Callithrix jacchus: one gene and its partners. The protein of the gene in region 3 purifies or fractionates together with the protein of the main gene of each other region. This does not show direct contact. Links are inferred from orthologs where the notes say so. Each region holds a gene or a part of one and is shown on either strand. Other genes may lie near its edges. The genes, in order: BAG6, UBL4A and GET3.

Region 1 (10,247 bases), on a different chromosome or scaffold from region 3:
CCAAGTGACTGGAACAGCTAATGCTCTGAGATGTGGGGCTTCCTTGATAATTATGTATTTATTTATTTATTTGAGACAGAGTCTCGATCTGTTGCCCAGGCTGGAGTGCAGTGGCGCAATCTTGGCTCACCGCAACCTCCACCTCCTGGGTTCGAGCAGTTCTCTGCCTCAGCCTCCTGAGTACCTGGCATTACTGGCACCTGCCACCATGCCAGGCTTTTTTGTATTTTTAGTAGAGATGAGGTTTCATCATGTTGGCCAGACTGGTCTCAAACTCCTGACCTCATGATCTGCCTGCCTCAACTTCCCAAAGTGCTGGGATTATAGGTGTAAGCCACTGCACCCAGCCTACTTATTTTTTTAGCCAGTCAAATTTAGCAGTTGGGGGTGGGGGCTGTACACCAACTTTAGTGACACTGGTAATAAGTTCTGATACCCACTACCATCGGACCAGCCCTACTTCTTTATTTTTTTGACGTGGAGTTTCACTCTTATTACCCAGGCTGGAGTGCAATGGTGCGATCTCGGCTCACCGCAACCTCTGCCTCCCGGGTTCAAGCAATTCTCCTACCTCAGCCTCCCGAATAGCTGGGACTACGGGTTGCGCCACCATGCCCAGCCAAGTTTTGTATTTTTAGTAGAGATGGGGGTTTCACCATGTTGACCAAGATGGTCTCAATCTCTTGACCTAGTGATCCACCCACCTCGGCCTCCCAAAGTGCTGGGATTATAGACGTGAGCCACCGTGCCAGGCCCTACTTATTTATTTTTAAGACAGTGTCTCACTCTGTTGCCCAGGTATGATTACCGCTCACTACGACCTTGACTTCCCAGGTTCAGATGATTCTGGAGTAGGAACTATGGGCACACACCATCACATCTGTCTAATTTTTTGTAGAGACAAGGTTTCACCATATTGTACAGGCTGGTATTAAACTTCTGAGCTCAAGCAATCAGCCCACCTCAGCCTCCTAAAGTTGGGATTACAGGCATGAGCCACCATGCCTAGCTTGATAGATTATTTATATCCCATGGGCTGCCACAAAAAATTTGCCCTAAGGGATGAGGCTTGTGTTTTTGTTAAAAACAAAATTTGGAAAAAAAATTTTTTTGGGTGACCAGTATATTACAGTTCATCATACTATTTTATTTTGGTGTAATGTTTGAAAAAAAAATTTTTTTTTTTGAGACGGAGTTTCACCCAGACTGGAGTGCCCAGACTGGAGTGCAACGGCACGATCTCGGCTCACTGAAACCTCCGCCTCCTGGGTTCAAGCAATTCTCCTGACTCAGCTTCCTGAATAGCTGGGACTCCAGGCGCACACCACCATGCCGAGCTAATGTTTGTATTTTTAGTAGAGACGGGGTTTCACCTTGTTGACCAGGATGGTCTCGATCTCTTGACCTCGTGATCCACCCGCCTCGGCCTCCCAAAGTGCTGGAATTATAGGTGTGAGCCACTGCGCCCCACCTATGTTTGAAAATTTTTATAATAAAAAGCTAAAATGTGGCTAGGCACGGCAGTTCATACCTATAATCCCAGCACTGTGGGAAGTCAAGGTGGGAGAATTGCTTGAGGCCAAGCGTTCAAGACCAGGCTGGGCAACACAGCGAGATTCTATCTCCAGAAAAATAAAATTAGCAGGGTGTGGTGGCATGCATCTGTGGTCTCTACTAGTTGGGAGACTGAAGTGGGAGGATTGGTTGGGCTCGGGAGGCAGAGGCTGCAGTGAGCTGTGATTGTGCCACTGTACTCCAGTCTGGGAGACAAAGCCAGACCCTCTCTAAAAAAATAAAATAGGCTGGATGTGGTGGCTGACGCCTGTAATTCCAGCACTTTGGGAGGCCAAGGCGGGCAGATCATGAAGTCAGGAGATCAAGACCATCCTGGTCAACATGGTGAAACCGTCTCTACTAAAAATACAAATATTAGCTGGGCGTGGTGGCAGGCGCCTATAGTCACAGTTACTCGGGAGGCTGAGGCAGGAGAATAGCTTGAAACTAGGAGGCGGAGGCTGCAGTGAGCCAAGACCGCAACTAGGAGGCGGAGGCTGCAGTGAGCCAAGACCACGCCACTGCACTTCAGCCTGGGCGACACAGCAAGACTGTCTCCAAAAAAAAAAAAAAAAAAAAAAAATGTGTGTACATAATAAATAAAATGTAGGCCAGGTGCGGTGGCTCAAGCCTGTAATCCCAGCACTTTGGGAGGCCAAGGCGGGTGGATCACGAGGTCAAGAGATTGAGACCATCCTGGTCAACATGGTGAAACCCCGTCTCTACTAAAAATAAAAAAAAAAAAAAAAAAAAAAAAAAAAAAATTTAGCTGGGCATGGTAGCGCATGCCTGTAATCCCAGCTACTCGGGAGGCTGAGACAGAATTGCCTGAACCCAGGAGGCGGAGGTTGCGGTGAGCCGAGATTGCGCCATTTCACTCCAGCCTGGACAAGAGCTAAACTCTGTCTCAAAAAAAAAAAAAAAAAAAGAAGCTAAAATACAACAACAATTCTTTATTGGGGCAGTAAAGTACAAGTGCTCGATCTGGACTCCTGTAGGCCTAGATTTGTCAGTTCTCCCACTTAGTTCGTCTAAGTGTACTCACCTATAAAATGTTAAAACGCTTATGTTAAAAGGCTGGTTAAGATAAGACAATACACAAAACCCTTAGTATGTGGGCTGGCAGAAGTGCTCATTAAAACAGCTGCTTATTAGAACTCTTAACTAAAATATAACCAGAACCTGGGTATAAACTATGAATCCCAGAAAGGCTGGGCACCCCAGCAACGATGTGCTTTCTGGAAGACTCGCAGTTTCGCGAGGCCGAGGCCCTTTTCTTAGGAAAGCTTAAAAGAAGAGGGCACGGAGAGGCGGTAATGCCTCCACCCCAGCCTTCGGAAGCACGTTGGCCGGCCTTTCAATTCCCCACCGTCAGGGTCTTGTCTTTTGGTCCACTCGGACTCCATTTGCTCCCAATTCTCAAACTCGGAGGCGCCTCATTTCTTGAAAAAAGTCCTGCGAGTTAGTAGCATGCTTAGTTTTCCTAAAACGTGTCATGTCCCCTTGGCCGCACACCGCCGACGAACGTGACACCCACAGCCCGCAAAACGCCCACCCGGCAGAACCGATATCTAGCCCAAACAACCAACCAAAACCCAAATACATCCTTGCCGCCCCCAAATGCCTACTGAAAGTAACTTCCGGTGGCGGAGAAAGAAGGGCGCAGCGAGGGCGATAGGGTCGGGAAGAGTTTTAGCTGGCTAGGACAGTGCCGCCTGAAATTCTCAGCCTGCCAAAATTTAAACATAGATTAATGTGGCATAATCCTCCATCTCCAAATCCAAGGTCCATGCGACCGTCCATAGCCCCTCTCGAAGCAGTGGTGGACTCCCATCTGGCGATTGTTTTTCAGGCATTTACAGTAGCCACCTCAATCTTCCAGCGCTCAAGAGCTCGCATAGGAGAAGCGAGAGCCGACAGAGGGGGGTGGAGCGGTGCTTCAGTGTGTACGCATACGTAGTGCAACGCACGCAGGCGTAGTACGGTCCCCTGGGCGACGGCGGCGGCGGCTCCTCGGGGTCCTCGGCTCCCTCCCACCTAGGCCGGCCCCGGCCCGACTCGCCCTCAGAAACTCACTGGGGCTGTGGACTTTCTCGTCGTGCCCCACAAAAGTAAAGCTTGGGGACCTGGGGGGAGCCGGAAGTATCGCCTTGAGATCCCCAAATACTATCGTGGAAACGGAAGTGGCCGTCGGTGGCAGGTTGGGGGAGACCGGAAGTGACGGTCCGTGGGGAAGTCGGGGGCGGAGCCGCGGGGTCGTTGGGTGTGTGTGTATGTGTGTGTGTGTGGTTGTGGTTGGCCGTAGGTTAGTTGTGCGGTTCTGCTGGAACACCGTGGGAAGGCAGTAGACGAGGGCAGTCAGCTAGCTCGTACGGCGCCCCGTGAGTGCCGTTTTGGGTCTAGTGAGTTAGGGTTCGACGGGCGTGGCGCGCGTGCGCGAAACCACTTTCTCCGCAGTGTGTGGCGCGACCCCCGCTTTCGCCTTGTCCCAGGATTTTGTGACCTCTGGGGCGTTTGTCCCGTCGTGACCGGTGATGACACTGGTCTCTGGTCTCGTGCTTTTTTCCTAATCTGACTGGCTCCCCCCTTATTGTGATTGGCATCGTGGAGCCCCTCCCACCTCTTGTCCTCCAGCTCCTATGCCGTCGATCTCCTGCCCTTTGTGTTTCTCTCCCTGTGCCCCGGAATTACAAGGGTGATGGGGGCAAGTGTGAATGTGTGTGTTTGTACAGGAGAAACTTTTTAGGTATTGGGGCAGGGATTAATGCTAGGGAGGCTTCCGGGTACACGCTGCTCTGGGAGACAACGGGCCTTTCTTCTTCATTCTTCTTTAGAGAGCTGTCGGCCATGGAGCCTAATGATAGTACCAGTACGGCTGTGGAGGAGCCTGACAGTTTGGAGGTGCTGGTGAAGACCCTGGACTCTCAAACTCGGACCTTTATTGTGGGGTCCCAGGTGAGACACCTTAGAAGTTCTGGAAGACACATTTAGATTTTCCTCTTTTAAGCCTCTTAGCCTGATTTTGTGGTCATCAGATTTTCTTTATTCTTTCTTTCTTTTTTTTTTTTTGGAGTTGGAGTCTCCCTCTGTCCCCCAGGCGGGAGTGCAGTGGCGCCATCTAGGCTCACTGCAACCTCCGCCTCCCTGGTTCAAGTGATTCTTCTGCCTCAGTTTCCCAAGTAGCTGGGACTATAGGCACCTGCCATCAGCCAATTTTTGTATTTTTAGTAGAGACGGGTTTCACCATATTGGTCAAGCTGATGTGGAACTCCTGACCTTGTGATTGGCCTGCCTCACTCTCCCAAATTGCTGGGATTACAGGTGTGAGCCATGGCACCTGGCCCTTTTTTTTTTTAATTTTTATTTATTTATTTAAAGATGGGGTTTCACCATGATGGTCAGGCTGGTCTTGAACTCCTTACCTCAGGTGATCCACCCACCTCGGCCTCCCAGAGTGCTAGGATTACAGGTGTGAGCCACCATGCCCTGCCTTTTTTTTTTTTTTTTTTGACATGGAGTCTTGCTTTGTCTCCCAGGCTGGAGTGTAGTGGCGTGATCTCAGCTCACTGCATCCTCCACTTCCCAGGTTCAAGTGTTTCTTCTGCCTCTACCTCCCAAGTAGCTGGAATTACAGCCACTACACCTAGCTAATTTTTGTATTTTTAGTAGATATGGGGTTTCACCATGTTGGCCAGGCTGATCTCAAACTCCTGACCTCAGGTGATCTGCCCACCTAGGCCTCCCAAAGTTCTGGGATTATAGGCATGAGCCACCACACCTGATCTCAGATTTTCTTTTCATTGATTCCTTTGTTTGTATTCCAGTGGAACGTTTTCTGATGTTTTGTGAGTGAGGCTGATTTTGTTCTGTCCTCCACATGGATAGAACTTAATGCAGAGGGAAACAGAGTGAGGAAGAATCTGTGTGTCATCATCCACCCCAAAGGGACAGACATGGCTCTGGCCTTTGGGAAGGGAAACAGCGCAGGGACCCTAAGCAAGTGTATCTTATTGATAGAAAATGGTCAGGTCTGTGCTGTGTTTTTAAAGGATAGAAATCAGAACTCATAATGGAGATTGAGCCTTGATAGACTGTTGAGGGAAATTACTAATTTTTGTGGCATAGCTTGAGTCTTTTGAGCTTAAAGCCTTGGACACAGCTATCTATATCTTTATTCCTGTAATAGAGACGAATTGCATGTGAGTTGGTCCGTGGTTTTCTAAAACATGGTATTAGCTGGATATAAGAAAGCCATATATAGAGTTGTAATTAGATGCGTGTAAACACTTTATCAAGAGTAAGTCTCTAGTTAGGAAAAACGTTTTTGTTTTTATCGCTACTTTTTTTTTTTTTTTTAAGATGGAGTTTTGCTCTTGTTGCCCAGGCTGGAGGGCAGTGGTGTGATCTCAGCTCACTGCATCCTTCGCCTTTTGGGTTCAAGCCATTCTCTTGCCTCAGCTTCCCAAGTAGATGGGATTACAGACGCTTGCCACCACGCATGGCTAATTTTTTTTTTTTTTTTTTTTTTTTTGAGACAGTTTCGCTCTTGTTACCCAGGCTGGAGTGCAATGGCGCAATCTCGGCTCACCACAACCTCCGCCTCCTGGGTTCAGGCAATTCTCCTGCCTCAGCCTCCTGAGTAGGTGGGATTACAGGCACACGCCACTGTGCTCAGCTAATTTTTTGTAGTTTTTAGTAGAGATGGGGTTTCACCATGTTGACCAGGATGGTCTCGATCTCTTGACCTCGTGATCCACCTGCCTCGGCCTTCCAAAGTGCTGGGATTACAGGCTTGAGCCACCGCGCCCGGCCAGCTAATTTTTTTATTTTTAGTAGAGACAGAGTTTTATCATGTTGGCCAGGCTGGTGTCGAGCTCCTGACCTCAGGTGACGAACCTGCCTTGGCCTCCCCAAGTGCTGGAGTTACAGGTGTGATGCGCCAGGTCCTTTTTTGCTACTTTCTTAGTTTTTCTTCTTTTTTTTTTTTTTGTTTTTGTTTTTGTTTTTTGAGACGGAGTTTCGCTCTTGTTACCCAGGATAGAGTGCAATGGCGCGATCTCGGCTCACCACAACCTCCGCCTCCTGGGTTCAGGCAATTCTCCTGCCTCAGCCTCCTGAGTAGCTGGGATTACAGGCATGTGCCACCATGTCCAGCTACTTTTTGTATCTTTTTTTTTTTTTTTTTTTTTTTGAGACGGAGTTTCGCTCTTGTTACCCAGGCTGGAGTGCAATGGTGCGATCTTGGCTCACTGCAACCTCCGCCCCCTGGGTTCAGGCAATTCTCCTGCCTCAGCCTCCTGAGTAGCTGGGATTACAGGCATGCGCCACTGTGCCCGGCTAATTTTTTTGTAATTTTTAGTAGAGACGGGGTTTCACCATGTTGACCAGGATGGTCTCAATCTGTTGACCTCGTGATCCACCCGCCTCGGCCTTCCAAAGTGCTGGGATTACAGGCTTGAGCCACCGCGCCCGGCCAATTTTTTGTATCTTTAGTAGAGACGGGGTTTCACTAATTTGACCAGGAGAGTCTCGATCTCTTGACCTCGTGATCCACCCGCCTTGGCCTCCCAAAGTGCTGGGATTTCAGGCTTGAGCCATCGTGCCTGGCCAGTTTTTCTTCATTAACCTGATTCCAGACCCCATCTTCTTTGCCATTTTTTAATCTTGGGAATTATAGGAGAGTCTGATAAATAAACTCCTGGTATCATTTTGTGTTTGGAAAGGGGTCACTGATGTTTCAGACACACATTCCCGTGGGAGCCAGGCAGAGAATGTAATGTCCAGATGTTTTTTTTGTTTTGTTTCTCATCCATGTTATTTTTCATGGACCTATATATAACCTGAGCTTCATTAAATTTATTTATTTAATTTTTTGAGATGGAGTCTCACTCTGTTGCCTGGGCTGGAGTACAATGGCACAATCTCAGCAACCTCTGCCTCCCTGGTTAAAATGATTCTCTTGCCTCAGCCTCCCTAGTAGCTGGGATTACAGGTGCCCACTACCACACCTAGCTAATTATTTTTGTATTTTTAGTAGAGACAGGATTTCATCATGTTAGGCTGGTCTGGAACTCCTGACCTCAGGTGATCTGCCTGACCTTGGCTTCTCAAAGTGTTGGGAATACAGGTGTGAGCCACTGCACCCAGCCAAGTTTATTGTCTATATTTTGACAGCTGTTACTTCAGTTTAAGGGTTTGCACGGTGATTACCTCACAGTCAAGACAAATGGGTGGTGATTCTGTCAGTTGTCCGTCTCTGTTCTTCCTCTTTCCTCTATTCTTTCCATTCCTGTGCATACCTTCTCTTCCTTGCAGATGAATGTGAAAGAGTTTAAGGAGCACATTGCTGCCTCTGTCAGCATCCCATCTGAAAAACAACGGCTCATTTACCAGGGACGAGTTCTGCAAGATGATAAGAAGCTCCAGGAATATAGTAAGGCGACTGGGGAGGCAGTTGAGACGTTGAGACTGCTATCTGGAGTGTTGAGTTGAGGCCACGGGTTTACCTGTTCATACTATGTTTTGGTGTGTGTCTATTTTTCTGCAGATGTTGGGGGAAAGGTTATCCACCTGGTGGAACGGGCTCCTCCTCAGACTCAGCTCCCTTCTGGGGCATCTTCTGGGACGGGGTCTGCCTCAGCCACTCATGGTGGGGGACCCCCGCCTGGTACTCGGGGGCCTGGGGCCTCTGTTCATGACCGGAATGCCAACAGCTATGTCATGGTTGGAACCTTCAATCTTCCTGTAAGCTTATGTTCCACAGGGGAGGGTCTTTGTGGGTAGCTTTGGTTGTGGTAGCAGCAGGGTATTAATAAGATAGATGCTTCCATCTTTAGGTTGGGTTCAGGGGGCCCTGTGGTATGCTATTGGTGTCAGTGTTTAAGGAGAAAAGAGAGCGGGGCTCCAGGGAATGAATCGGAAGAGTGGAGGCCTTAGTATTGGCTTCTCCCAGAACAACTTCCCTTACCCTTTCCCCAGAGTGACGGCTCTGCTGTGGATGTTCACATCAACATGGAACAGGCCCCGATTCAGGTATTGAGGGGCCTTGGAGGGTCAGGGAAGGGGATCTGGGAGAAGGAGGCTGGGAGGTGGGGTAGACCTGGTTGAAAGATGGCTGGGACCTGATTTAGTAGGTGGTAGAATTCATGGCTTCATCTGTAACCTACCCTGATCACTCTTCTCTCATTGTAGAGTGAGCCCCGGGTACGGCTGGTGATGGCTCAGCACATGATCAGGGATATACAGACCTTACTATCCCGGATGGAGGTAAGTGGGCAAGGCTGGCTAGAGTCTCTCCCCACCTTCCCCCTTTTCTCTCAGCCTGGGGGTTGGGGCATAACTGGCCACATTCACAGGGTTTGGCCTTCGTAATCTAGACTTCTTTGCAGTATTCATTCTTTTGGACAGAAAAACGTATCTTTGTGAGCTGCTCTCATTTCTACCAGTCCTCTTGGTGCCTGGTGCCTGGTATCTGGGGAGTTTGTTTCAGATTTGTCTCATGGGATCTCTTTTTTTTTTTCAGACGGAGTTTCGCTGTTGTTACCCAGACTGGAGTGCAATGGCACGATCTTGGCTCACTGCAACCCCTGCCTCCTGGGTTCAAGCAATTCTCCTGCCTCAGCCTCCCGAGTAGCTGGGACTACAGGCGTGCACCACCATGCCCAGCTAATTTTTGTATTTTTAGTAGAGACGGGGTTTCACCTTGTTGACCAGGATGGTCTTGATCTCTTGACCTTGTGATCCACCCGCCTCGGCCTCCTAAAGTGCTGGGATTATAGGCATGAGCCACCGCGCCTGGCTGGGATCTCTTTTCAATTAAAGGATTCCACATTTGGCCTGGCGTGGGGGCTCAAGCCTGTAATCCCAGCACTTTGGGAGGTCAAGGCAGGCGGAGGTCAGTGAGACCAGCCTGGCCAATATGGTGAAACCCCATCTCTACTAAAAATACAAAAATTAGCTGGGTGTGGTGGCATGTGCTGCATGCCTGTGGTCTCAGTTACTTGGGAGGCTGAGGTAGGAGAATCGCTTAAACTCGGGAGCAGAGGTTGCAGCAAGCCGAGATCATAGCACTTGAACCTGGGTGAGAGAGTGAGACTCCATCTCAGGGAAAAAAAAAAAAAAAAGGATTCCACACTCTTAACTAGTGAAGGTCAGGAAACCACAATCTCTACTCTTTGTTAGAAATCTGTTGACAAATATTACAGATGCTATGGGCAGGCGTGGTGGTTTCTGCCTGTAATCCCAGCACCTTGGGAGGCCATGGCAAGTGGACAACCTGCAGTCAGGAGTTCCAGACAAGTCTGGCCAACATTGCGAAACCCTGTCTCTACTAAAAGTACAAAAATTTGCTGGTTGTGGTTGCATGTGCTTATAGTCCTGGATTGCTTGAATCTGGGAGGTGGAGATTGCAGTGAGCTGAAATCATGCCACTGCATTCCAGCCTGGATGACAGAGTGAGACTCTGTCTCAAAAAAAAAAAAAAAATTACAGATGCTTATTCATCTAATTTATGTTAGTCTTATGCTAGTTGCTAGAAAGTCAGATATACAATTGCAGAGCCCTGCCTTCAGGGAGCCTAGTTAGGACACTTTCTCTATTCAGTCTCCTGCAGAGTAATCCTCTGCAGCAGTCTCATCCTGCCTTTTGGTATCCTGACTCTTCCCCACCTTCAGTGTCGAGGGGGTTCCCAACCG
Region 2 (10,441 bases), on a different chromosome or scaffold from region 3:
TGACTGCATTTGTTCTCCTTGACCCCTGACAAAAAACAAGAATTGGTGGCTGCCAAGTGGCTAGGTCCAGGTGATTTCACTGACAGCACAGGCGAGTGGAATATGAAAATTCACGTTCCCTCCAAGGACACAGCTTTTTGGTTTTCCTTCTTTGGCTTTTCCAGCTGACTTCCTTCTCCTTCTGGCCAATTTTACCCCACCTCAGATGGTTCCTACTCTGACTGCTCTATTCCACATTGCAATCCAGCCCTCTCACCTGTTCTAGCAGGACCCTTCAACCCTGTTTGAAAGGGACAGAACCTTTCCAGAACAAGTAATAACACACAAATCATTTCTGCCTTACTGATCTCCCAATCATCCACACATCAAACTCTTTTAAGAACTCTCAGCATGTCTATATTTGCTTATATCATGTGCACATACTAACTTGAACTTTGTAAAACACACACAAAGATAACCTTTTTCAGCTGGGCATGGTGACATGCCCCTATAGTCTCAGCTACTTGGGAGGCTGAGGCAGGAAGATCGCTTGAGCCCAGGGGTTCAAGGCTGCAGTGATTACCACTGCACTCACGCCTAAAATGAAATTTTCATTCTCATAAACATTTTTAAAAGTTTATTTATTTACAGACAGGGTCTGGCTCTGTCCGTAAATAAACAAACTTTTAAAACAAATTTAAATGTAAATAAATTTATTAAAATTGTACTATTTGGCTGGGAGCGGTAGCTCACGCCTGTAATCCCAGGCCAAGGCAAGTGGTTTGTTTGAGGTCAGGAGATCAAGACTAACTGGCCAACATGGTGAAACCCCATCGCTACTAAAAATACAGAAATTAGCCGGGCAGGGTAGTGCATGCCTGTAATACAGCTGCTTGGGAGGCTGAAGCAGGAGAATAGTGAAAGAGAGAAGGAAGGGAGGGAGGAGAAAGGAAAGAGCGCTCGCCAGGTGCAGTGGCTCGGGAGGCCAAGGCGGGCGGATCACGAGGTCAGGAGTTCGAGACCAACCTGGCCAACATGGTGAAAACCCGTCTTTACGAAAAATACACAAATTAGCAGGGTGTAGTGGCGCGCGGCTGTAATCCGAGCTACTTGGGAGGCTGAGGCAGGAGAATTGCTGGAACCCGGGAAACGGAGGTTGCGGTGAGCCGAGATCGCGCCACTGCACTCCAGCCTGGGTAACAGAGACTCCATCTAAGAAAAAAGAATAGAAATAGGCGCTGGGTTAATGCTTGAACGAAAGGAGAACTCCGCACAGAGCCTGGCGTCCTGGTCTGTCAAACTCAGCCCTGGAGCTCCAGGCCTGGGCACCCTTGAGCGGCAACGTGGTCAACGATCACAACAGGTTCAGATGCACTGCCAAGCGATTGGTCCAGGCAGCGCCGGGCACCAACCAGCTGCAGGAAGCTGCCAGCCCAGCTCTCCCGCTCCGGCGCCGGCGCGTCGCTCCCAGAAAGGTCACATCCGGTCGGAACCCAGAGAACCGCCGGAGTGGAGCGGGACGCGGAGGGAGGGCGGAATCCTGACGCGCGGGGCGGGGCCTCGGCGGGGCGGGGTAGGGAGGGGCCTCGACGGGGCGGGGCCCTGACGGGCCAAGCTCGCGGGCGTCTGCCAGCCGGGCCGGCGCTGCAGTTGAGCTGCGTGGTGGCTGTGGCAGGTGAGAGCCTCCGGAAGGGAGGTGGCCTCTGGCCCCGACCCCGCTCCGCTATCGCTCACTCGGGCGCCCGGCCGGGCCTGTCAGGGAAGGGCTGCCACCGCCGCCGCGCGTTCGCGAGGCCTGGCGCAGCCGCGGGACCCAGGAATGGCGTAACGGTCCTCCCCAGACCTCGAGACGGCCCGAGCTGGTCGCCGGCTGTGGGACGGCAGCGTGCCCTTCCCTTCCTCCCTCCCAGGTTCGCACCCAAGCTCTGCTAGCGACCCGTCCGACAACTTCCGGACTCCCAGGTAGGGAGGAGCCCGTGTCAGCGCTGCCAGTTACCCCGAACACATGGCCGACGTGCAAAGAGCATCCATCCGGGCCGGGACTCCCTCCCCTGCCTTGTGGGTGCATCTGCTCAAACTCTGTCGGCCCCTCAAGCAGAAATGGTGTGGGATCTGAGCCAAACCCCTCTTGCAGTGACTCAGAGCCGACAGCCCTTCTGGAGGGATGGGGCATGGGGTTGGATGGCCCCTAACCTTTCCCTCCTGAACTGGTTCATGCCACCGTGATGGCTGTAGTCCTGCTACCTTCATCTTTGCCCCTCTACTTTGCTTCTCCCACCCCACTGGTTTTCCTGTCTCCCTCTTCAGAGGTAAGACACGTGGCTGGACCAAGGCCTCCAGGGTAAGTGACCCGAACTTCAAGCCAGCAGAGGCCATATCATCCTGAAGTAGGGATAGGGGAGGCTCCCAGGGATGAACTTGTGACTTAACCTAATCTCTGCTCCCTACTTCACCTCACCCCAGGCTCAGATGACAGGAGGCCAGGGCTGAAGACTGATAGGATCTACAGAGGACTGGGACAAAACAGTGCATGAAGCAACTGACAGCAGTGATGTTAAGCTGCTGTGGCCCCTTCCTGGTTGCCCCAATTCTAGCAGGCGATGTGACACTATGGTGGACACTCCACATTGAGAACTGGAGGGAGGTGCTGCTGGCCCCTAGAAACACTCACAGCTCCACTGAGAGTTTGAGGCTCTGGTAGGGTGCACCTGAGCACGGGGAGGAGCCCTGGACTCAGCACAGCCTCTCAGATGTAACACAGCAGCTCTGAGAGCTCAAATTCTGGGACCAGTGGGAGCACTGACAAAAGGAAGATAAACCCCCCAGTAGACATGTGGCTCTGACCCACTCCTGCTGCCCCTTCTGGCAACTTCCCTGGGGAGGGAGGACCTGTCCCCAGCAGAACCCTCACCGAGGCACTGTAGTAGCAGGTAGAGTAGGCCAGGAAGCCACAGCCGAATGGTACTCAGGGGCCAACACCAGGCATTGCCTCTCCATTCCTGAGCATGGGGCAAGGGTCCCTGCTGAGTTTTACTCTTACCATGGGCTTCCAGATCCCCATGCTCCTGGGTTCTTGACTGCACACCCTCACCAGCCACCTCTCTGTGTCCCTTACCTCCTCAGGGAGAGCCCTGCCATCAAGGAAGGCAGCACAGGACCAGGACCCACCCATGAACCCTTCTCAGGACAACCTGATAGCACCAGTGGGGATGCTCTCCTAAGCCACAGAGGGCCTGGGCGCGACATCCGTCCTCCAGGAGGAGCCATGGTGTCAATGCAGGGCAGGGACAGCTCTCAGCAGTGGCCTGGTCGGGGAGGCAGAGGTGGTGGCACAGGTCCCGTAGACATGCTCAGAGCTGCCCTGCTGCTCATCAGCCTACCATGGGGGGCCCAAGGGACAGCCAGCACCAGCCTCAGCACCGCTGTGGGCCACACTGTGCCATTGACTGGGGGCCGCTACTTGAGCATTGGAGATGGTTCTGTGATGGAGTTTGAATTTCCTGAGGAGAGTGAGGGCATCATCGTGATCTCCAGCCAGTACCCAGGCCAGGCCAACGGGACAGGACCCAGCCCCACGCTGAGGGTCACATCCCTGGACACAGAGGTGCTGACCATCAAGAACGTGAGTGCCATAACCTGGGGAGGTGGGGGCGGCTTCGTGGTGAGCATCCACTCCGGCATGGCTGGGCTGGCCCCACTCCACATCCAGCTCATGGGCGCCCATGAGGCACTGCCCACAGTGATTGAGGAACGGAGAGATTTCTGCATCAAGGTCTCACCTGCTGAAGACACCCCTGCCGCCCTCAGCGCCCACCTGGCCCACTTCTCGGAAAACCCAATACTCTACCTGCTCCTGCCTCTTATCTTTGTCAATAAGTGTTCGTTTGGGTGCAAAGTGGAACTTGAGGTTCTGAAGGGGCTCCTGCAGAGCCCCCAGCCCATGCTGCTGGGCCTCCTGGGCCAGTTTCTGGTCATGCCCTTATACGCTTTCCTCATGGCCAAGGTCTTCATGCTGCCCAAGGCCCTCGCTCTGGGCCTCATCATCACCTGCTCGTCGCCTGGCGGCGGGGGGAGCTACCTCTTCAGCCTCCTTCTTGGAGGGGATGTCACACTGGCCATCTCCATGACGTTCATCTCCACGGTGGCTGCCACTGGTTTCTTGCCACTGTCTTCAGCCATCTACAGCCGCCTGCTCAGTGTCCATGAAACACTCCACGTGCCCATATCCAAGATCCTGGGGACCCTGCTGTTCATTGCCATCCCCATAGCAGTGGGTGTGCTCATCAAATCCAAGCTCCCCAAGTTCTCCCAACTGCTGCTGCAGGTCATCAAGCCCTTCAGTTTTGTGCTCCTCCTGGGCGGCCTCTTCCTGGCCTATCGCATGGGGGTCTTCATCCTGGCAGGCGTCAGGCTACCCATCGTGCTGGTGGGTATCACGGTGCCCCTGGTTGGCCTGTTGGTGGGCTACTGCTTGGCCACGTGTCTGAGGCTGCCAGTGGCCCAGCGGCGGACAGTCAGCATTGAGGTAGGGGTGCAGAACAGCCTGCTGGCCTTGGCCATGCTACAGCTATCCCTCCGCCGCCTTCAGGCTGACTATGCCTCCCAGGCCCCCTTCATTGTGGCACTGAGTGGCACCTCTGAGATGCTGGCCTTGGTCATCGGCCACTTCATCTACAGCAGCCTGTTCCCAGTTCCCTGAGGCCTCTGGGTCAAGCTTTCGTCAGTCCCAGCCTCCACACTCCACCTACTGTCCCCAGAGTTCTTGTGTACCAAAGGCCTTTAGTTCTCATGCACTATGCACTCAGAAAAATCCAGGCTTATTTTTTTTACTGATTTTTTTATTCTCCAGCTTTCAGTGCCAAGGAGGCCATGCTGAGTTAGGTAGGTGGGCACTGCCCCAAAAATATATTTCAATAAAAGACAGAAGCAAGCTTGGGTCCCTTCCAATCTTTGCCCTTTGGTGCCTGGGCTTGGGGGTAGAGTGTGCTGGGTAGGTGTGGACCAGGGTGGAGGACCAGCTTGGATGACACGGTGACCCATGCACAGGCTTTCTCTATCAGCCCTCCCCAGGAATGTCCCCATTCTGGGAGAGGTGGGAGGATGAGAGCAGAGGCCTGGCTCCCCTGCCCGCTCTCAAACTCGGTGGGGTGTTTTGCAGCCAGACCAGAAAGGAGGAGGCAGAAACCCAGCGGGCAGGGGGTGGGGGCGGGCCGTCTGTGGGTTTGCAGGGCCCGGCTCCGCCAGCTGTCAGGATATGTGGGGTGGTTCAGGCCATCCGCGGGGGCGAGCGTAACTCTTGGCCCTTCCTTCTCCATGCCCCAGCTCCTACATGACGCCAACCTGACCCGACGGGTTCTAGCTCCCAAATTCCCCGCACTGTGGCTTTGGGAAGGGTCCGCCGGCTAGGGCAGTCGCTGCGCGTTTGCGAGGCGGAACCCCAGGGGGACTCCTCCTCCCGGGGCGCAATTGGGGTGGGGGGCGTGAACGGGACAGGAGGGCGGGGCCGGGAAGCGCGGGCGGCGGGCGCGCCCCTCTTGCTGCTTCCGGCGGCAGCGGGTGGATCCGGCGCGCGACCGGGGCGGCGGCGCGCGGCGGGGGGTGGTTGGGGTGCGCGCCCGCCCGAGTGGACGCCGCCGCGGCCGCCATGCAGCTGACGGTGAAGGCGCTGCAGGGCCGCGACTGCAGCCTGCAGGTAGGGTCCCGGGGCCGGGCTGCCGGGCCCGTCAGTCGCCCGCCCCTAACAGGAGGACCGCCAGGGCCGAGGGCGGGCACGGGGCGGCCGGGCCGGGGGCTGGTAGCCGAGAGAGCCGCCCTCGGTAGCGGACGCGTGGGCTTCGTCGACCGAGGGCCGCGGGCTCAATCCCTGCCTCCCACCCTCGGCGCGGCCAGGTGCCGGAGGACGAGCTGGTGTCCACGCTGAAGCAGCTGGTCTCAGAGAAGCTGAACGTCCCCGTGCGCCAGCAGCGGCTGCTCTTCAAGGGCAAGGCCCTGGCAGGTACCCAGGGAGAGGAGACGCCCAGGGAGCCCCGCAGGAAGCGGGGCCAGGGTGCTCTGGCCGCCTCGGCAGCCGTGTGACGGGTCGGGGTGCCGGCGCCCAGCGCCACTTGACTCCAGGGTAGACGACCGCATGCTGCAAAGCTGAATCCCGCAGCCCGAAGCGGCCTCGTGTCCTGGGCCACCCCCACGGCGGCAGGGAGAAACTCATCGATCTGTCTTTGGCAGATGGGAAACGACTCTCGGATTATAGCATCGGGCCCAACTCCAAGCTCAACCTAGTGGTCAAACCCCTGGAGAAGGTGCTACTAGAAGAAGGCACTGGCCGGAGACTGGCCGACTCCCCACCCCCGCAGGTCTGGCAGCTGATCTCCAAAGTCTTGGCCCGTCACTTCAGCGCGGCAGATGCCAGCAGGGTCCTGGAACAGCTACAGAGGGTGAGAAGGGCAACCCTGGACATCCTTTCTAGGCCCAGCTGCTCCCAGCCCCCCACTGCCATCCCCTGAATCTTCCTGCCTTTCTCTCCCCAGGATTACGAGAGGTCCCTGAGCCGCCTGACACTGGACGACATCGAACGATTGGCTGGCCGTTTCCTGCATCCAGAAGTGACTGAGACGATGGAGAAGGGCTTCTCCAAATAGCATTCTCAGAGCATAGGGAGGTGCCCAACGCCAGGCCACGGCTGAACATCACACAACGTGTGTTCAGTTGCAGTTGGGCTCATAATAATAGCTGGCAGGTACCTGGCTCTGGCCAGGTGCTAGGCACCACTCACAGCTTGACCTGGGTTTGCTTCCACACCCTTGGAAGAGGAGAGCCAGCACAGCGGGGGCGACGCAGGGGAGGAGCCCCAGTTGGAGTCCAGCAGCTTCTGAAAGTGCCTTGATGTGACAAGGAGGAAGGGGCTGCTTGGAGAGCTGAGCTCACTTGTCATATTTAGCCCACTGAGAATATACACTCAAGCAACTCCTTCCCAAGCCTGAAAGGGGAAGCAGTTGTCACCTGACTTCTGGCGGGTCCAGCATTAACCCTCAGCTCACTGCTGCAGGAGGCCAAGTTGCAGCCAGCCCTGGATCCCCCAGCTGCTACAGCTAGTGAGCGTTCTACAAATGGAAAAGCAGGTTGGGGCCAGGGAGTGAGAAAGTCACCCCAGCTCTGTGATATGACTTTGGGCAAGTCTCAGTGCCACTTTGGTCCCCCGCCACAGACTCTATAGGGTGAGGGCCACTTCCTGATCTGAGTCAGTGTTCTCCGCCCTTACCCCAGCCCAGGGTGGGGAGTGTTAACAGTGCTCTTCTCCCTTCTGTTCAATAAACGAACTGAAGTCAAAAGCAAAGCATGGCCAAGTGTGACCCAGAGATGGGTGTCCTGGCCTTTGGTGACACAGCTCTTCTCTGGGGCACCCTGTCTGCTTGTCTCCTCCTCCAGGAAGCATTAGGGCTGATGGGTGACTCAGAAAGGCAGTGTCAGAGCTGGGACTGGTGTAGGCATTTATCCTCATCCCCAGCATTTGCCACCATGTGGAAGACGAATACATCCCAGCCATCTGTGTGCGGGGGCTTACTTCGTATGCTCCTTATTGCCTGAGAGGAAACCTTGGGGTGCCAAGGCAGGGGCAGAAGCATGGGCTGGGTTCCAGTTCCTCCTCCACCCTGCCCTGCGCATGGGCACTAGAGGACATTGAAGTGCCTGCTCCTTGGAGGAGGCCCCCAGGGGTGGTAGAGGCTGGAAGGAAGCCACAGGCAGGAAGACACCACTCCAGCCCCTCCACCCTTGCCAAGGGAGCAGCTCAGTGTGGTCAGGGCTGCACGTGCTGGAGACCCTCCTGCCTGGGCCTTGTGGGCCAAATATTGGGTCCCCAGGCTGGAAATATGGGCAGAGGCCGAATGAGTGAAGGCTCTGAAGAGCACACAAAAGCCCCTGGCCACCCACGAGAGCTGGAAAGCCATGTATGTGGCTTCAAAGCCATATGTGGAGGGACATGCTTGTGAGCATGTGTGGCCTGCAGCTCAGGTGATACATTTACCAGGGTTCTTGTTTGGTGCCAGGAAATTAATTTTGGAAAGTGAAATAACATTAAAGGTGAACGTGAAACTTCTACTTTTATCCAAAGGAGCTATATTAGCTAGGCTGCTTCTGGTATCCAATAATTGGTTTAAAAATAAAGGCAATTTGTTGAATCAGTACAGGAAATTTCTTGACTTAATGAAAGGAAAAGTCCAGTGGTGTTGGCATTGGCAGCAGGTGAGCAATTTCACCCAGTGTCTTCCTGCCTCCCTCTGCGTTCGTATCTGCTTCATCCCAGGCCATCACCTCCAAGGATGAAAAGATGGCTGCCTGCAGCTTGCATGGAATCCCTGCCTCACTGCCAGATGCCCCAGCAAATAAACACTCTTCTCATTGGTCACAACTGGACTGTGTGTCCAATCATTTTGGCCGCGGTAGAGGGTAATTCTCCATCAGGGCTGTCTCCCTGAGCTAGGCATGGGGCCACTTCCCTGGATGGGCTGTGCAAGGGACAGAAGGCTCTGGGGGAGGGCTGGATGAATGGATGTCCTCAATTGTGGCTGCAAATGGCAGCGGTCTACTACAGGGGCCATACATGTGTCAGAAAGATCAGGGTCACCTTGGAGGTAGTGGAGGAGAGGGCTGGAGGCATCAAAATCAGGGGAAGCATCAGGGAGGGCACGAGAGGGAGGAAACATTGCAGGGATGGGAGATGGGAAGTGGGGGGACTGCATGAAGATGGAGCAGCCACAGGCTCCAGCCCCCAAATGCTGAGATCCTTTAACAGGAGTCCGAATGTTTACTGCAGGTGCTGCACCCCTCTGAGCAAATCGTCTGCTCTGTGAGATGGCACTGAGTCATCCACTACCCTTTGCCCCTCAAGGAGGGGCCTCGGGACAGTTCCTGACCTCTGCAGCCATGGTGTGTGTCAGGAGATGGCAGCATAAGTGAAGGGCCCACGGCAGGAAGAGCAGCCTCAGAGGACAGCAGCATTTGCCTTGGGGTGGGGAGGCTCCCTAGAAATGGATTCGCTGTACCCACAGTTTGCTAGCACCTTGCAGGTATCCCATGTGGGCATCACCAGCTCTTAATAGATCTGCCGGGGCCTGGTACTCCCAGGAGTAGATGTGGCAGGCAGCTGTGGCCAGCCTTGAGCCTCCCAGCCCTGAAACGCCTTCAGGAGAGATGAGAGACACCTAGCAACTGCCTTGTCCTCCAGGACCCAGCTGGAGTGGCCTGTACACACCCCTGGGGCCCCACTGAATGACTGGCAGGCCACTCCTCACCATCTTACACCCTTGCTCTCCTGCTGTTTCCACTGCTTGCTCCTTCTCAGGCTCTCTTGCTGGTTCTTCACACACACCCCAACCTTCAATGTTGAGGTCCCAGGGCTCAGTCCCTGAACACCTCTTCCCTCTCTGTATCACTCCTTAGGGGAGCTCATCCTACTTAGTTTCTATTTCTGTGCTTCACTCCCACGTCTATGTCTCATCCCAGCCCTCTCTCCTGAGCTCCAGCCCGTGTCTCCCAGACAGCACCTGCTCATCACTGAGTGCCCACTGTGTCCCAAGTGCTGGCAACCCTGAGACTGGGAGACACAGTCCCTTCCCTCTTGACACTCATGTCCAGCACTGGCCAGCTCCTCAGCACACACATTTTCTCCATGCCCACCTGACTGAAGGGCAATCAGGCAAGAATATTTTTGGAAGCATACTCGCCCCCAGCCCCCACATCAGGAGGCAGGCAGGGTCAGGCTGCCCCAGTGTTGGGGACACTCAGTTTCATCACGTAACCCAGGTGGCAGCTGCCAGATCTCTCGCCTGTAAAGATGCAGTTTCCCTTCCTGATTCACAGGTAATTTGGGGTAATACTTGGAGACTTTGAGAATATCCTTTCATTTAATGGTTTTGCCATCCAGTGATAATCCTTGCCTGAATCAACTTTTTTTCTTTTTTTTTTTTGAGACAGAGTCTCACTCTGTCACCGAGGCTGGAGTGCAATGGTGTGGTCTCGGCTCACTGCGACATCCGCCTCCCTGGTTCAAGAAATTCTCCCACCTCAGCCTCCTGAGTAGCTGGGACTACAAGCGTGTGCTACCATACCCAGCTAATTTTTTTTGTAGTTTTAGTAAAGACAGGGTTTCACTATGTTAGCCAGACTGGTCTCAAACTCCTGACCTCAAGATCCACCCACCTCAGCCTCCCAAAGTGCGGGGATTACAGGCATGAGCCACCCTTCCCGGCCATCCTGAATCAATTATTAAGTTAATAACAATTATTACATTGATGGTTACAAAAATGGTAATTTTCTGATACTTTTTTCTATACCTATTACTTGCCATTTCTCTATAAAAACCTTTCCTTTTTCTCACTCTTTTTTTTTTAGACAGTGTCGCTCTGTCGCCAGGCGTCAGGCTGGAGTGAAGTGGTATGATCTTGGCTCACTGCAACCTCCGCCTCCT
Region 3 (10,124 bases):
CCCAGTCTCTACTAAAAATACAAAAACTTAGCTGGGCACGGTGGCAGGCACCTGCAATCCCAGCTACTTGAGAGGCTAAGGCAGGAGAATCACTTGAACCTGTGGGGAGGGAGGTTGCAGTGAGCTGAGATTGTGCCACTGCACTCCAACCTGGGTGACAAAGCGAGAATCTGTCTCAAAAAACCGCAAGGAAAATCAAACAAAAAACAAACATGTATGTAGAAACCATGAAGGGATGGCCATGCCTGAGGTCCCTGGCCAGTCTCAGACTCAATGCCTCCCTCTTTATCCTTCTTGTGTCACCACTTGCTGGTGATTTCCCATGGGGAAGCACCCAACTCGCTGGCCTCAGGGGTCATTTCCTGTTGGGGAGCTTGCCCACTCCTCACCACGTCCTAGTACCCACTCTCTAACCTTAACCTCCTCTCATGCCTCAGTTATTCTAAGCCTCTTGGACCACTTTATCCCCTCACCTGGCCCCTTGTAAGCTGTCAGTGCCCCTCTTGACTGGCACCCGTGTCCAGCCCAGCCTCCATAGGTTACCTCTGCAAACACTCCCTTTCTCCCTGCTATTGGCAAAATTCCCCACCCTGGTTGCTTCCAGTTTTGTTTTGTTTTTCTTTAAGAGATAGCAACTTGGCGGGGCGAGGTGGCTCACACTGGTAATCCCAGCACATTAGGAGGCCAAGGCGGGCAGATCACTTAAGGTCAGGAGTTCAAGACCAGCCTGGCCACTATGGTAAAACCCCATCTCTACAAAAAAAAAATTCAGGCCTAGCATGGTGGCTCACACCTGTAATCCCAGCACTTTGGGAGGCCAAGGTGAGTGGATCACAAGGTCAGGAGATCGAGACCATCCTGGCTAACAAGTGAAACCCTGTCTCTACTAAATATACAAAAAAATTAGCTGAGTGTGGTGACACCCGCCTGTAGTCCCAGCTCCTTGGGAGGCTGAGTCAGGAGAGTCGCTTATACCCGAGATGTGGAGGTTGCAGTAAGCGGAGATCATACTACTGCACTCCAGCCTGGGAGACAGAGTGAGACTCTGTCTCAAAAAAAAAAGAGATAGTGTCTCATTCATAGCTCATCGAAGCCTCAAACTTCTAGGCTCAAGTGATCCTCCTGCCTCAACCTCCCAACTAATTGGGACTACAGGCATATACCACCACGTCCAGCTAATTTTGTTTGTTTGTATTTTGTACATAAAGGGTCTCTCTTTGTTGCCCAGGCTGGCAATGAGGCCTTGAACTCCTGGCCTCAAGTGATCCTCCTGTCTCAGTCTCCCCAAGCACTAAATTACAGGTGTGGCTTTCCAGCTCTTTCATCACTGCACTCGAGGGCCTGAACACTCTCTTAAAGACTATTCCCATCTTACTTTTTTTTTCCGTCCTTGTTTTTTTTTCTTGAGATGGAGTCTCACTCAGTTGTGCAGCTGGGGTGCAGTGGCACAATGTAGACTCCCTACAACCTCTGCCTCCCGGGTTCAAGCAATTCTCTGTCTCAGCCTCCCGAGTAACTGGGATTACAAGTGCCCACCACGCCTGGCTAATTTTTGTATTTCTTCTTTTAGAGATGGGGTCTTGCTATGTTGCCTAGGCTGGAGTGCAGTTCACAGGCGCGATCCCACTACTGATCAGCACAGGAGTTTTGACCTGCTCCATTTCCAACCTGGGCTGGTTCACCCCTCCTTAGGCAACCTGGTGGTCCCCCGCTCCCAAGAGGTCACCATACTGATGCCAAACAGTGTGGACACCCAGTCAGCATAGCGCACTACAGTCCAGAACTCCTGGGCTCAAGCAATCTTCCTACCTCAGCCTCCCAAGTAGCTGGGACTACAGGCGCCCGCCACCGTGCCCGGCTGTTTTTTTTTTTTCTTTTGTGAGACGAAGCCTGACACTGTTGCCCTGTCTGGAGTGCAGTGGCACGATCTTGGCTTAACCTCCACCTCCCAGGTTCAAGTGATTCTCCTGCCTCAGCCTCCTGAGTGGTTGGGATTACAGGTGCCTGCCACCATGCCTGGCTAATTTTTTGTGATTTTAGTAGAGACAGGGTTTCACTCTGTTGGCAAGTTCTCAAACTCCTGACTTTGTGATCCACCACACCCAGCCTAATTTTTGTATTTCTAGTAGAGACAGGGTTTAACCATCTTGGCCAGGCTGATCTTAATCTCCTGACCTTTTGATCCACCTGCCTTGGCCTCCCAAAGGGATTACAGGTGTGAGCCACTGTGCCTGGCCCTTGCTCCCCTTTTCTGAACACAAATTTCCAATGGGCACTTGATGAACTGGATAATTCTGGTTCCCCCTGCTACCTTAAGAAGTGTTTATGGCCAGGCACAGTGGCCTGGGATTACAGACGTGAGCCACTGCACCTGGCCACACTCACCTAATTTTTTGAAATTGTTTTGTAATGACAGGGTTTTGCAGGCCAGGCACAGTGGCTTATATTTGTAATCCCAGCACTTTGGGAGGCCAAACAGGTGGATCACTTGAGGTCAGGAGTTTGAGATCGGTTTGACCAAGGTGGCAAAACACCATCTCTACTAAAAATACAAAAATGAGTCAGGCATGGTGGTAGTAATCACAGCTACTCGAGAGGCTGAAGCAGGAGAATCACTTGAACTCGGGAAGTGGAGGTTGTAATGAATAGAGACTCAGCCACTGTACTCCAGCCTGGGCGACAGAGTAAGAGTCTGTCTCAAAAAAAAAAATTAATAAATAATAGGCTGGGTGCGGTGGCTCACGCCTGTAATCCCAGCAGTTTGGTAGGCTATGACATTGCCCTGATTAAAACAACTTCCCATTAAACCTGGAGTCAATGCCCAACTGCTTACAGTGCACTGACTCAATCTCAAAAAAAAAAGAAAAGAAAAGCTGTCTGAGGCTGGATGCAGTACCTTACACTTGAGGCTGAGGCAGGAGGATTACTTCTCCAGCCCAAGAATTCGAGACCACCCTGGGCAACATGGCTGTGTCTTTTTTTTAATGTCAAAAGACTCTGTGTCTTTTTTTAATTTTTGAGACAGAGTCTCGTTCTGTTGCCTAGGCTGGAGTGCAATAGCACGATCTCGGCTCACTGCAACCTCTGCCTCCCAGGTTCAAGTGATTTTCCTGCCTCAGCCTTTCGAGTAGCTGGGATTACAGGCATGCATCACCAGGCCTGCCTAATTTTGTTGTATTTTTAGTAGAGACAGGGTTTCACGTTGGCCAGGCTGGTCTTGAACTCCTGACCTCAAGTGATCTGCCCACCTTGGCCTCTCAAAGTGCTGGGATTACAGGTGTGAGCCACCAGGTCCAGCCTTCACACAGCTTTAAATGCTACCTTTGGGTCAGTGACTTCCAAATCAGTAACAATCTCCTCTGAGCTCCAGACTCACGTAAACAAGCTACTGTCATGATGTTTCCACTTGGATTTTCAGTGGGCACCTCAGATTCGCTGCGGACTAAATGACATTCTTGACTTGTCCCTTCTAAACCTACTCCTTTACTAGTTTTCCGCATCCTAGCTGCTCAGAAAATAAAAACATGTAACTAGTTCATTTATTTTTCTCACCCATTCCGACCAAGTAATCTCACTAATTTACTTCTGTTAAATAAGTCCCTGGTGCGATGCGGCTCATTCCTGCAACCCCAGCACTGTGGGAAGCCAAGGCAGTCAGATCACTTGAGGTCAGGAGTTGGAGACCAGTCTGGCCAACACGGTGAAACCCTGTCTCTATGAAAAATACAAAATTAACAGGGCATGGTGGCACATGCCTGTAATGGCAGCTACTGGGGAGGCTGAGGCAGAAGAATTGCTCGAACCTGGGAGGCAGGGGTTGCAATGAGCTGAGGTTGCACCACTGCACTCCAGCTTGGGCAACAGAGGAGTCTTGACTGTCTAAAAAAAATAAGTAAATGAATTCCCAAATCTGACTGCTTCTCCCCCAACATTCTGTCCCACCACAGTCCAGGATGCTGTCATCTCTCAACTGGTTACAGCCCCAACCTCATTACTTTCCTTGACAACTGAATCTCCACTTAGCTGTCAGAGGGTACTTTTCAAACATGAATTTGGCCATGACACTGCCCTGCTTAAAACAAACAACTTCCCATTAAACCTGGAGTCAACGCCCAACTGCTTACCGTGCACTGTAAGGTCCCACACCATGTGGCTCTGATTGGTCTTTCCAACTTCTCCTTCCCCTACCCTGGCTCTCTAAGCTTCAGGCACTCTGGTGTCCTTCCTGCTCCGCAATTCCTCATTCGTTCCCTTGTGAGTATGTTGAGGAAGGGGTGAAACAGGAGAGATACAGGATACAGAATGGATAGGACATGGTGGCTGCTGATGTGTGTGCACAAGAAAGGCTGGAAGGGTCTTTCCCAGAAGTGGGAGCTAAGCCCTGCTCCACTCACCATAGCAAAGAGGTTGTCATAGCCTTTGACCTTGGTAGGCACCTTTGAGAACTTCTGGTCAAAAGCATCTGAGATGTTATGAGCTGGGTCTGTGGAGATGATCAGAACACTCTCACGTCCCTTGGACAGCTGGACTGCCAGGCTGCAGCTGGGTAACGGAAAAGTCAAAAGATGGGGGATGAGGGGTTGGGCTCTGTTCCCTGGGTCTGCAAGGGGAGTGACAGGTTCCTTAAAGCAGGTGACCCGGATCAACAGGGGCCTTGAGAGAAGAGTATGGGTTACCGTGGGATTAAGCCTCAATCCCTAAAAAGGACCCCTCTCTGATTTATCTACTGAACCCTCAATCTGGACTAGAGAGTTAAGGTTCAGCTGACTGAGTCCATCTGGCCTTGTGCCCGCTTCTTCTTTGCTGGGCACACAGTGGTATGGCCCCGCTGTCCAGCCAGCATAGCGTGACTCTGTGCCACCTTCCTTAATAAGCTGGAGGGGGGGGGGGTCCCTTCCATTCCTTGCTAAGCACAGGATGGTTCAGTCCACTTGTCCAGGATAATCTGCCCCACGGACACTTCCTGCCTGCAGCTACCTGGGACACTCTGATCATGTGCCCTCTCCCTCCCTTTCCGCCCTCACTCTCGCCTTGGGCGTAAAACAGCAAGGTTCACCGAACTAGGATTGATTGTTTGGTCCAATCCCTACCCACAACTTTGATTTCACTCAGGTACGGTCCAGATGATGGGGATATCTAAGTGCTCCCCCGTCCCTCGAGCACTGAGTTCACTGTGGTTCAGCACTTGAGCCCCAACAGTGATGGTCCAACTCAGAGGGTGCTAGGCCTGCATTGAGGAGTTATCTCCCATTTGCTCCAGGTAACTTCTAGAGTGTGAAACCAAAGACCCCCGCCACCCGCCTTGCCCCGCTCGTGGTGGAAAAGCCGGTACTTGGCCTCCCCTACGCCCAGTGGCATACCCTACCCGGCTCCTGGCTCCCGCAGCAGGCTCCGTACCTGCAGGTGGTCTTGCCCACTCCACCCTTGCCCCCGACGAAGATCCACTTCAGGCTGCGCTGCTCGATGATGTTGCTAAGTGTAGGCTCCAGCGGCTCCACATCAGGCGCGTCTTCGAACTCCTCTGCCTCAACCCCCCACCCGGCCACCCCTGCCGCCATTTTGGAACTGGCTCACGTGATCAAGCGGAGCACACCATGCGAAGCACCTACAGGGGAAATCCTCTAGCACATTCCCATCGAGGCTATAAGCATGAATTAATTTCCTCATGACTTGCCTTTCAGGAGAAATATAAATTATGTTTTCACTATTCTTTGCTTCCAGGGTTCACTTTGTTAACCTCTGGTCTGTATTTCTCCAAGGACTCCCCTTACCAAATGAGCACATCAGTACGGTCCAGGGTACTCCTCTTCACTGATTGGGCCATAAATCTTGCGGCGCTCTTTTCATTGGCTAGATCTTTTCTTACTTTCACCAATCACTCTCACGTTCCGGTAGCGCCAACCTCTCCTTAGCAACCAGCCAAACACCCAGTCCTTGCCCTTTCGGAGAAGTTAGAGTCCAGGTCCGCCTTGGCCTGACTCCATAGGTTCAATTTTATGTCCATCATTTTCCCTCTATTCTTCACGTTGAATCCGAACCTCCCCTTTGGTTCCGCCCCTTCTGTTATTCAATTGGTTGTTAGCCACTTGGTTCCTCCCACAATCCAATCATAGAAGAGTTGACTCGGCTGGAGATGAATCCCTGGGGCTGATAGTGGCTTAGAGTGTGCAAGTCCGCATTCTTAACCATTACTCCCTCATCTCCCATGCTGAGCAGGCTCCATGCCTGCAATTGCGCTCAGTTTCGCAGAAGGGACCCTAATTCCTAAAAGCTTCCTTGCATTTCTCCTGTTCAAGAGAAGACTCCAGTATACCATAATTCACGTTCGAACTTCTGTCCTGGAGCAGGAACACAAGCTGGGTTCCAGGCCCCTGATGAAGATCTCACCCCATAATACTTTTTTTTTTTTTCGCTGTGTGATCTTGGGTAAGTCACTTAGCCTTTCTGCGCTTCAAGTTCTTCATCTATCAAATAGGGGTAAATACAGAAGCATCTCTAAAGGTTTTTTTTTTCTTTAGACGGAGTTTTGCTCTTGTTACCCAGGCTGGAGTGCAATGGCGCGATCTCGGCTCACCACAACCTCCGCCTCCTGGGTTCAGGCAATTCTCCTGCCTCAGCCTCCTGAGAAGCTGGCACGCGCCACCATGCCCAGCTAATTTTTTGTATTTTTAGTAGAGACGGGGTTTCACCAAGTTGACCAGGATGGTCTCGATATCCTGACCTCGTGATCCACCAGCATCGGCCTCCCAAAGTGAGTGTTTTTTTTTTTTTTTTTTTTTTTTGTTTTTTTTTTTTTTGGAGACCGAGTCTTGCTCTGTCGCCAGACTGGAGTGCAGTGGCGCGATGTCGGCTCACTGCAACCTCCGTCTCCCGGGTTCAAGCGATTCCCCTGCCTCTGCCTCCTGAGTAGCTGGGACTACGGGCGCGCGTCACCACACCCGGCTAATTTTTAGTATTTTAGTAGAGACGGGGTTTCACCGTGGCCACGATGGATCTCCTCACCTCGTGATCTGCCCTCCTCGGCCTCCGAAAGTGCTGGGTTCACAGGCATGAGCCACCGCGCCCGGCCAATACTCTTAACTTTAGACAGAGACTAGGGCCTAGAGATAACCCCGACTTCATCTGAATACTACAGGTCATAAAATAAACTGGTTAACATGTATGTAGAATCCGGCCGGGCGCGGGGGCTCATGCCTGTAATCCCAGCACTTTGGGAGGCCGAGGTGGTGGATCACCTGAGGTCAAGAGTTCTGGACCAGCCTGTCCAACATGGTGAAATACCGTCTGTACTAAAAATAAATTAGCCCGGCCTGGTGGTGCGAGCCTGTAATCCCAGCTACTCGGTTGGCTTAGGCAGTAGAATCGCTTGAACCCGGTGAGGGGCGGAGGTTGCTGTGAGCCGAGATGGCACCACGGTACTCCAGCCTGGGCGAAAGAGTGAGACTCCGTTTCAAAAAAAAAAAGCTGATTCTCAGGGACCTCAGCTCCACAGAGCAAGCTATGTCCTCATTAAATGTAAGCTTTATCCCAGAGATGGGTATCCAACCCAGAGATACCCCAATTTCTACGTGGGGGGCCCAGGCTAGAAATACTCTCTATTCCTAGTTGGGGACTCAAGTTCCTAGGTGTCAGCTGAGCACACAGCCCCAAATGAGGTGCTTCCCCTCACAGAGATTATTATTGGTGTCAGACAGGGATTCTAACCCTGCAAAGCGAATCTGCTCCTAGCCCCGAGTAAAACTACACTCCAGAGAGCAAGCTACAGCCTCAGTCTCAGACAACAGTCTCATTCTAGGGGAGCCCCTGTCTGGGGAACACCAGCTCGAGTACTGCTGAATTTTGAAAACCCGCGAGGCAGGGCTCGGTGGCTCACGCCTGGAATCCTAGCATTTTGAGAGGCTGAGGTGAGAGGATTGCTGGAGCCTAGGAGTTCGAGAGCAGCCTGGGGAACATGACAAAACCCCATCTCCACACACAAAAATTGGCCAGGAATAGTGGCGCATGCCTGTTTTCTCAGCTACTAGGGAGGGTGAGGTGGGAGGATCACCTCAGCTCTGGGAGGTCGAGGCTGCAGTGAGCCACCATCCCGCCTCTGCACTCCAGCCTGGGTGAGAGTGTGACTCTGTCTCCAAAAAACAAACAACAAAACCTCGCCAGACTGGGCCGAATGGCTAATGTCTGTAATCCCAATACTTAGGGAGGGGAGGGCAAGGCGGGAGGATCACTTGAGGCCAGGAGTTCGAGACCTAGCTTGGGCAGTATAGCCAGACGCCCGTCTCTAATTTTCTATTTTTCTTTTGTTTTTTTTTTGAGACGGTGTTTTGCTCTTGTTGCCCAGGCTGGAATGCAATGGTGCAATCTCGGCTCACCGCAACATTCACCTCCAGTATTCAAGCGATTCTCCTGCCTCGGCCTCCCGCCACTGGGCGTGGTGGCTCACGGCTATCCTAGCACTTTGGGAGGCCGAGGCTGGTGAATCACCTGAGGTCGGGCGTTCGAGACCAGCCTGGCCAACATGGCGAAACCCCGTCTCTACTAAGAGTACAAAAAGTAGCCCGCGTGGTGGCGCGTGCCTGTAATCCCAGCTACTCGGGAGGCTGAGGCAGGAGAATCGCTTGAACCCGGGAGGTGGAGGCTGCGGTGAGCCGATATCGCGCCATTGCACTCTAGCCTGGGCAGCAAGAGCGAAAACTCCGTCTCAAAAAAAAAAAAAAACAAAGAAACAAAAAAACCCGTGAGGCGGGGCCCCTCCCCCAGCCCCGCCTCTTTGGGTCGGTCCTCTCATCGCCCCGCCCCCTCCCCGCCTCAACTGCGGACTCTCGAGGGCCGGACCCCTCTTCCCATCATGCATTGTTCGGGACGAGAAGAGTCGGGCGCCAAGCGCGGGGCCGGAGCGGCTTTCCCGGAGTGCTTTGCGCGGCACCTGGCGACAAAATGGCTGCCCGAGGGAGACGGGCGGAGCCTCCAGGCCGGGAGGCGCCGGGCCCCGCGGGCGGTGGCGGTGGTGGAAGCCGTTGGGCTGAGTCGGGATCGGGGACGTCGCCCGAGAGCGGCGACGAGGAGGTGTCGGGCGCGGGTTCGAGCCCGGTGTCGGGCGGCGTGAACTTGTTCGCCAACGACGGCAGCTTCCTGGAGCTGTTCAAGCGGAAGATGGAGGAGGAGCAGCGGCAGCGGCAGGAGGAGCCGCCCCCGGGTCCTCAGCGACCGGACCAGTCGGCCGCCGCCTCGGGCCCCGGGGATCCGAAGAGGAAGGGCGGTCCGGGCCCCACACTTAGCTTCGTAAGGAGCCGTGGGGGTGGGGGCGGGCGCCAGGGCCTGTCCTGAAAGCGGGAGTCGGGGCCCGTGAAGGGGGATCGGGACCGAGGTTCACTTTCGGGGGGGGGCGTCGGGGTCACCCTCTGAGGATGTGGAACTTGGATTCCCGACAAGAGGGGGGCTGGGAGCGGGTGTGGGGGCGCCAGGAGCCTGCTGGTGGGGAGTGGGAGCCGAGTTGTATTGGATTCAGCACTGTGGAGAATGAGGAAACGTGGATGTCAGGATTCCTTCTTGCTTGAGTGGTACCTGGACCTCGGGTCATGGGACCACCACTGATTGTGAGAAAAGGGGGCAAATTCAAGTCTGGACTCTGAGCAATATGCATTAGACTGAGACCGCTAACCGTGTAAGGACAATTACTTACCTAGGACAATTGCTTGACTTCCTTGAATCTCATTCCACCAATCTCCATTTATTGGGCAATTTTCCTTGTGCTAGGCATTGTGCTAGGTGCTGGGTATGCAGTGGTGAGCTTGCAGAGAAGAGCGCTGCTTTCCTGGAGCCTCTGGGCTGCCTACCCTCATTTCCCTAGTTGCAAAAATAGACATCGTCGCATCTCTTGATGTGGTGGTGAGGGTTTTATGAGGTGATCCTGGAAAAGTGGTTAGCGCAGAGCCTGTCTTCCAGGAAGGGCTAAACTAGTGGTTCTCAATTGGGGCAATTCCCTCCACCCCCACATTTGGCAAAGTCTAGAGACATTTTTGGTTGTCAGAACTGCTGGAGGGGGTGCTAGTGACATCTATGGGTAGAGGCCAGGGATGCTGCTCAACTTCCTACCTTGTGTGGGGCAGCGCCCTCCCACCCCCAAA

What was found.
Region 1: the proteins of GET3 (region 3) and BAG6 purify together in Homo sapiens (co-immunoprecipitation; 5 studies listed by BioGRID and IntAct, with this or other methods). This does not show direct contact. The link is inferred for Callithrix jacchus from reciprocal best matches to the Homo sapiens genes GET3 and BAG6.
Region 2: the proteins of GET3 (region 3) and UBL4A purify together in Homo sapiens (affinity purification with mass spectrometry; 4 studies listed by BioGRID and IntAct, with this or other methods). This does not show direct contact. The link is inferred for Callithrix jacchus from reciprocal best matches to the Homo sapiens genes GET3 and UBL4A.

Annotation. Positions count from the first base shown.
Region 1 is NC_133505.1:39,148,925-39,159,171, reverse strand, and holds the start of BAG6 (large proline-rich protein BAG6), read left to right. Parts: upstream 1-4,179; 5' UTR 4,180-4,268; coding exon 4,269-4,300; intron 4,301-4,388; coding exon 4,389-4,509; intron 4,510-7,869; coding exon 7,870-7,987; intron 7,988-8,101; coding exon 8,102-8,298; intron 8,299-8,532; coding exon 8,533-8,586; intron 8,587-8,745; coding exon 8,746-8,820; intron 8,821-10,226; coding exon 10,227-10,247. UniProt on the Homo sapiens protein: ATP-independent molecular chaperone preventing the aggregation of misfolded and hydrophobic patches-containing proteins.
Region 2 is NC_133524.1:150,278,096-150,288,536, reverse strand, and holds UBL4A (ubiquitin-like protein 4A), read left to right. Parts: upstream 1-5,600; 5' UTR 5,601-5,623; coding exon 5,624-5,671; intron 5,672-5,868; coding exon 5,869-5,974; intron 5,975-6,201; coding exon 6,202-6,410; intron 6,411-6,503; coding exon 6,504-6,614; 3' UTR 6,615-8,383; downstream 8,384-10,441. Other genes in the region: SLC10A3 (P3 protein), read left to right, coding at 2,205-2,320, 3,103-4,678. UniProt on the Homo sapiens protein: As part of a cytosolic protein quality control complex, the BAG6/BAT3 complex, maintains misfolded and hydrophobic patches-containing proteins in a soluble state and participates in their proper delivery to the endoplasmic reticulum or alternatively can promote their sorting to the proteasome where they undergo degradation.
Region 3 is NC_133523.1:11,554,528-11,564,651, reverse strand, and holds the start of GET3 (ATPase GET3), read right to left. Parts: upstream 5,568-10,124; 5' UTR 5,559-5,567; coding exon 5,398-5,558; intron 4,543-5,397; coding exon 4,395-4,542; intron 1-4,394. Other genes in the region: TRIR (telomerase RNA component interacting RNase), read left to right, coding at 8,935-9,279.